Tribolium castaneum: one gene and its partner. The protein of the gene in region 1 interacts with the protein of each later gene in a biochemical or structural test. Links are inferred from orthologs where the notes say so. Each region holds a gene or a part of one and is shown in the gene's direction. Other genes may lie near its edges.

Region 1 (3,362 bases):
TCAAAATAAATCGAAAAAAGACGTTTACGGGACATATGGTGGCTGGGTATGCCTGCACACTTGATTTTTCACCAGATTTGAGGTTTGTTATTATTTTTTTAACAGTTGTAGGTTTTAACAATTTTTTTTGTAGTTATTTAGTGTCGGGTGACGCCGATGGTAAGTGCTACATCTGGGATTGGAAAACTACAAAGTTGTATAAGAAGTGGAAAGCGCACGATAATGTCTGTATCAGTGTGCTGTGGCATCCGCACGAGCCGAGCAAGTTAGTGACAGCAGGCTGGGATGGACTTATCAAATACTGGGATTAAGTTTCCAAGAAGGTGTAAATTTTAAGCGAAATAAAATATTTTAATTAGAAGATACGTCCTTTCGCTATGGTCACGTGATCGTTATAACCAATCAACGTAAGCGATTTCGGTCACCTGACTTATGTCTACGGTGAAACGTCACTCATTTTGCGTTTTTAAATGCCTACGTCTAATTTTGACAGCGAGATTTTAATTCCGCCGTTAAAGCATTTAAAAGATTAGAAAAAAATTAGATAAAAAATGATGTTTTTGCAATTGGAAAAAAATAAAGAATGATTATTAGTATTTTATTTAATAGTAATTAAATTTTCTAACATCAGCATTTGCTTTTTTTTCAAAAAATCTTTGTTCTCTAAATCGTCCTTTTAATTATTAATTTTTTTAATTAATTAATTTTTTCTCAAACTGTATTTTTTCGTCTTTGCAACAATCACACATTAAATTCACTTTCAAAAGACAATAAGTTGCTACTTTCGTTCGTTCCTATGTTGATTTCTAAATTTTCTAGATAATTTAAATGGAGAATTAAATACTTTAATGGGACTTTAATTTTTAAATATATATTTAAAATGATGAAACGGGGTGTTCAGTATTATAACTAATTAAGTCCGTTAGACGAGTTTTGAGTTACACAGGTCCGGACTTTGCTGGTATTTTGCAAATTTGTTTTATGGTGGAGTGGCATAGTTTTTTGGTAATGACTAAAAGACAACGTAGATTGTGAAATAACGTAATTAGAGTATGATTTTACAGCATACGTTTCTATTTTCTATATTTTTCTCAAAATTGACACAACTTTTGGTCATTTACTTCAGATTTTTTGCTGTTGAATGACTGTTAGATGCTGATTTCAAGAGAATCAACGATTTTTTCTATCATTAGTTCTCTGGTCCTCCCTAGTTTGTGAATGAATCCAAGTATAAACAACTCTCGCTTTAGTAAACCACTTTTTCCAATCCGTGCCAAAATTTGAATATCATCCAAAGGCCATAAATCTCCCCCACCCGCCCCTCAAAATCCATAAAATTCCTGCTTTCGCGCATGCGCCCCTACTACCCATCCCGCAAACATCCTCCCGCTTTGTTTACGTATGCTGTCAAGCGCGTCCATTTCCTAGTGCCGTTTGCGTGCCCCCATGGACGACCCCGGCAGAATGATGGGCCACACCGGCGGCGGCCTGATGCCCCCTCAGCCGTACATGAACGCCCAGGACGCGCCCGCGGGCGGCGAGAACGAGCCCCGCAAGCAGGACATCGGTGAGATCCTCCAGCAGATCATGAACATCACCGACCAGAGCCTCGACGAGGCCCAAGCGCGCAAACACACCCTCAACTGCCACCGCATGAAGCCGGCCCTGTTCTCCGTGCTGTGCGAAATCAAGGAGAAGACGGTGCTCAGCCTGCGGAACACGCAGGAGGAGGAGCCCCCCGACCCCCAGCTGATGCGGCTCGACAACATGCTGATCGCCGAGGGGGTGGCGGGCCCCGAGAAGGGCGGCGGCGCGGGGGCCGCCGCCTCGGGCTCCGCCGCCGCCCAGGCCGGCCAGCCCGACAACGCCATCGAGCACAGCGACTACAGGGCCAAACTCGCCCAAATCCGCCAAATCTACCACCAAGAACTGGAAAAGTACGAACAGGCGTGCAATGAGTTCACCACACACGTTATGAACTTGCTGCGGGAGCAGTCCCGGACTCGCCCAATCACCCCGAAGGAAATCGAGCGGATGGTGCAAATCATACACAAGAAATTCTCCTCGATTCAGATGCAGCTGAAACAGTCGACTTGCGAGGCTGTTATGATCCTCAGATCGCGGTTTTTGGACGCCAGAAGGAAACGCCGGAATTTCAGCAAGCAGGCGTCGGAAATTCTAAACGAGTATTTTTACTCGCATTTGTCTAATCCCTACCCCAGTGAGGAGGCGAAGGAAGAGTTGGCTAGGAAATGCGGGATCACAGTGAGCCAGGTGTCGAACTGGTTCGGGAACAAACGAATCAGGTACAAGAAGAACATCGGGAAGGCGCAGGAAGAGGCCAATTTGTACGCGGCGAAGAAGGCGGCAGGGGCGTCGCCCTACAGCGGCACCCCGACCCCCATGATGTCCCCAGCGCCCCCGCAGGACTCCATGGGCTACTCCATGGGGTCGGCCTACGACCAGAGCTCAGCCTATGACGCCAGTAGCTGTGGTTACGACCCAATGCACGCACAGGAACTGTCGCCCTAATCAAACCCTAGCTTAATTTTAAGGAAATACAGTTGTATACTAACCCATGTATACCGAATTTTGTATCGTGTACAGTGTGTTTCTGGGTTCAATTGCTTCAAGTTTTACTTTTCTGATAGTATAGGACGTACTTGCAATATATTTTTAGGTTGATTGTTTTAGGAGTTAAGGCGAGTTTTTCTTCAGTATTTTTTGTATATTTACTTATTTTTATCGATAAGGAGCAGCTGGGTGAGAGAACTTTGCTTTAACGCCGAGGTTTTTCCATCGAAAATGAAATTACAGTGCTTACTATTTAAATAAATAACTGTAGTAACACGTGGATCATTTTTTCAACATACATGAAATAATCACAGAAAATCCTACATGGAAATAAAGGGCGTAGAGAGACTCACGTGAATAAAAGCCCCATAAAAATTAACTCACTAAAAAAAAACAATCACTGTCATTGTGGATAGATTTATAAAATAATTACTCAGATGTCAATAAAAGTTTTAGATTTTTTAGACGAAGCGTCGTTAATTTAATTCGCAATTAAATGCGTGATTAACTGGACACGTGACCAAATTAAAGAAATGTGATTGGTGATTTAAGAGGTATGCAGAAATAACTTTCTAGGATAAAATTTAGTTCCTCTGTAAACCGAGATTCTAGGGGTGCAATTTCAGTTGGGACACCCTGTATAGAGACCAGAGGGGGAACGTAATACCCACTTATTACATAAATCACAACTTATCGTGAGCTTTTTTCTTTTTGGTATATGGGTATTTTTATCTGTGTGGGCTTTAAATTTTTCTGCTCAGACCCCACAATTAAATTTGCCGCTGTGA
Region 2 (3,759 bases), on another chromosome or scaffold:
TATGTACTTACATATATAACTTCTTAGGGGTGTCATTCTTTTTGATCGTGACTGTACCTACGTGCAAAAAAAATTGTATGCTAAAGTTATATCACCACACACTACTGTTACCACATCGGTAGGTATAGTCTTACCTCAGTTTTTTGAGATGAAGTTATCAGAAAGCTTAGATTACAAATGACAAATTTAGATCAAAGGGTTGGCATATTTCCATAGGTATAAAAATAATTGGGATTTATTAAAATTGAGAGAATGGTGATAGAAAAATTCCATGCACATATACCTAAGTTGGGTAAAACCAGAAAAACTGAAATTAATTTAATTTTTACGCAACCTAAGTATTTATCTTTCAAAATTTTTACATACTTTTTAACTGTTTAACTTATACTAAGACAGGTGCAATTCGACATAAAGCAACCTACAAGTAGAGTTATTTAAAAATATAGACCTACTAAATCATTTTTTCATCACTAACTCTCCAAGTTAGTTCTACTAAGATTTGTACAATAATTGTTTTTATTGTCTTTATTTTTACAATGAAGCAATATTATTTTTTCGAAGGATTTTGATAAATTTTTATTATAGTTAGGTATAAATCGTAACTTTCAACACTCACTTATTAAAAGCTTTTTGAGGTCAACGTCGCTAATTTGATAAAGTTGTAACTACATAAATGGTAGTAAAAATTAAGTTGTAGCTAGTGCGTGTTGACATAAATAAAATGACTATTTAGTGAAACCAGCTTGATTTGCATTTCATGTGTTTTATTTGGTCGATTACATTCCGGAAAATTTTAGCCAAATAGAGTTGTACGGAACACTTGATAAGAATTGTTTAAATTACTTGAAATATTTATTTTTGCTAGTTGGTTGTTATTTTGCGCTCAATGTGAATGGGAATAAGATTGATGGCTTGGCAAAAACTCGTTATTATTGATCGGATTTGTCACATCAAAGCCATGTCCAAATATTTTTTTTCTAAAGTCCTATTGGAATGGTTGTAAAATCAGGCCTCGTGCCCCTGTGCCGTGTACCTACACTTGACCCTGCGGCACTTCGCTCACCTCCCTAATAAATAAGTCTGAATGATTCATTACGTCCCTGCTACCGGAATCCGTGAACCACACACTGCTCAGCTGAGCGTCAAATCTTAAACAATTCCGAAATTATCAATTTTCAAGTCGTTGTCCCGCCCCTTGCCCCTCCGAGACTCCTCCCCGCGCCTGCGCCAGTGGCGTCTCGCCACGCCGTTCCGTGTGAAATCCCCCCTCGAAACGGCCCATCTCTGTTTATCCCGCACTCGGCTGCGCATCGTCTCGGTCCTTTCGGTGTCCTCCTTCCCGCATGTTCGGCTCGCATCTACTAAACCCAATCAACGTGTGGTATTGGGCAGTCGTGGCGCCGCTACGCAACCGTCTCGACGCGAATGTCCATCACTTACCCATAAACCAGCACGTGATGTGGTCGATGGTACTTGACGCGGTGTCATTCGGTGGTACCTGAAGCAGTGATAGTGCCCTTTCGGACCCAGTGCGTGAATGCCACAATGAGCTCCTACCAGTTCGTCAACTCCTTGGCCCAGTGCTACGGCCAGCAGGCCCGCGACCAGCAGAGCAGTCCCGGGACAGACTATTACAACCCCAACGCGAACTCCACCTACCCCCCAGCATGCTACTCGCCCCCGCAGGTGGCCCCCCAGTACCCGCAGCACCCGTACGCGGCCCCGGCGCCGGGCCACGGCCTGCAGCCCACCATGGGCGACTACACCCAGCTGCAGCCGCAGAGGCTGGCCTCGACCCACCTGCAGAGCCCCAACACCCAGACCCACCCTTCGGCCAGTTGCAAGTACGCCGATTCGACCTCCTCCACAGGAGTCGCCTCCCCGCAAGATCTGAGCACGAACGGAGCTCCTCCAAGGAGTACTCCGCCGCTTTCAACCCCCAGTAACAGCAACGCGACGAAGAGCTCGGGACTGACGTCCCCGCTGTCGGTCAGCACTTCGCCACCAGGCAAACCCGCGACCTCCACGGCATCGCAAAACTTATCCTCGCCGGCTTCTAGCACTAGTTCTACCTCTAGTACCGAAAAAGCCGGCACCAACAACAACAACTCCAAGAGCGGCCAATCGAGCAACCCGCCTCAGATCTACCCCTGGATGAAGAGAGTTCATCTCGGCCAAAGTAAGTGATATGACGTAAATCAAACGTGTCTCCAGTGGGCCATAAATACGATTCTTTTAAATGTTTCAAGAACCACTTGTGGAGCCGCGATTCGTTGCGACTTGATTTAGATGTAAACGCATCTATCCAATTACGAACGAATGAGATAATAACATAGTGGAGAGTCCGCAGGCATGAATATCGCATGAAAAATGCCTTACGCCCCTGCAAAACTTGACACTGCTGCAACGGATACTAATAAAACGAACGAGACCACAACACAAACCCATCTATAATTAACAATGTGTTTTTACTTTTTACAAAGGGTTTTGTGGAACGGTTGCACCAATCTGATTCAAATTCTTAAAAGAAAGGAGCACACACGAGAAATGATACTTAGATCTAGATCCTGCCACAAAAAAAAAACAAAAAAAATGTTCATAACGCAACTAGCGACCTACTAAAACTGTTGACAAAAATCATTAAAATCATATCAAGCTGTTTAAACGATTTGATAATTATTTCTTCTGAAACCGTTGCCCACGATTATCTAAAATTGTATCGTTACATAACGTCCAAGAATGATTAATTATTATTCTAACCTAATCATGATTTATTTTATTCCTATCTGATTAGAAACATAATTGACTTAACACAACTTTTCCAAGAAGAAACTAGAATAGTAAATTTTGAAAGAAAAGTCTTATAAACTTATTCTTATTTTATTCTATCATGTTATCATGCTCTTAATAATTCTCCACTAGTGCTGTTAAAAAACGATTTTTTTATTAGCACATATTCAGTTCTACACAGAAGTACGTCTCTCCAAGATTAGGAGCCAAACTCCGAGATTCCTTTAAAGCAATTTTAACGAAACAATATTTACTTTTCTTTGTTAATAATAATGAAATGTAAATGTAAGTGTAAAATAAACCGTTTCACGATAAACGTTTTTTGCTTTTTACACTCGAAAATCAAAATTTTCTCTTCTAGGTAATATAAAAATATAATAACTTCAGAACATTTGATTGCCCAAAATAGAGCACGGCTGTAGCAAGCTAAACCACAGTAACCGATAATTTTTTAATTAGTTATTTATTTCACGAGTGGATTATTAAACCACGAGTGAAAACCAGTGGATTATTACACCACGAGTGAAAACGAGTAGCTTATTATCCCCGAGATGAAATAAATGAACCGATTTACACGAAAATGAGTTAAATACAACGTTTTATTCTTCTAATTAGACAGAACAACGCTTAAAATTGCTTTAAATTTGTTAAAAAAAATTGTATTAAGAAATGCTAAAGGGTTGTCAAAACTTCCTTACACAGGAGAAAAACCGTAAATTTTGAAAGTGTCGAAGAATAAATGAGTTTTTATACATGTTTTACTATATTTTTATGCTTAGATGCATTTAAATACTCGCTAGCATTTTTTTTGTTTAAATTAATAAAAAAATTGTTTCTTTCTTCATAAACTCCAACTGCAATAGAACATTTTTTCCCTACGTAAAACAACAATATTTTATAATTTAATTATCAGAAAATACATTTACACAATAATATAATTTCATCTTGGATTATTATGTTACACAAATT

Evidence for each region. The genes of interacting proteins can lie anywhere in the genome.
Region 2: the proteins of exd (region 1) and Cx are reported together in a solved structure, tested with the Drosophila melanogaster proteins (2 studies listed by BioGRID, with this or other methods). The link is inferred for Tribolium castaneum from reciprocal best matches to the Drosophila melanogaster genes exd and Scr.

What each region holds. Positions count from the first base shown.
Region 1 is NC_087400.1:5,271,191-5,274,552, reverse strand, and holds exd (extradenticle), read left to right. Parts: upstream 1-1,442; 5' UTR 1,443-1,446; coding exon 1,447-2,532; 3' UTR 2,533-2,850; downstream 2,851-3,362. Other genes in the region: pre-mRNA-processing factor 17, read left to right, coding at 1-82, 134-311. UniProt on the Drosophila melanogaster protein: Transcription factor which acts with the selector homeodomain proteins altering the regulation of downstream target genes such as wingless (wg), teashirt (tsh) and decapentaplegic (dpp), thus affecting segmental identity.
Region 2 is NC_087397.1:6,806,428-6,810,186, reverse strand, and holds the start of Cx (cephalothorax), read left to right. Parts: upstream 1-1,312; 5' UTR 1,313-1,545; coding exon 1,546-2,179; intron 2,180-3,759. UniProt on the Drosophila melanogaster protein: Sequence-specific transcription factor which is part of a developmental regulatory system that provides cells with specific positional identities on the anterior-posterior axis.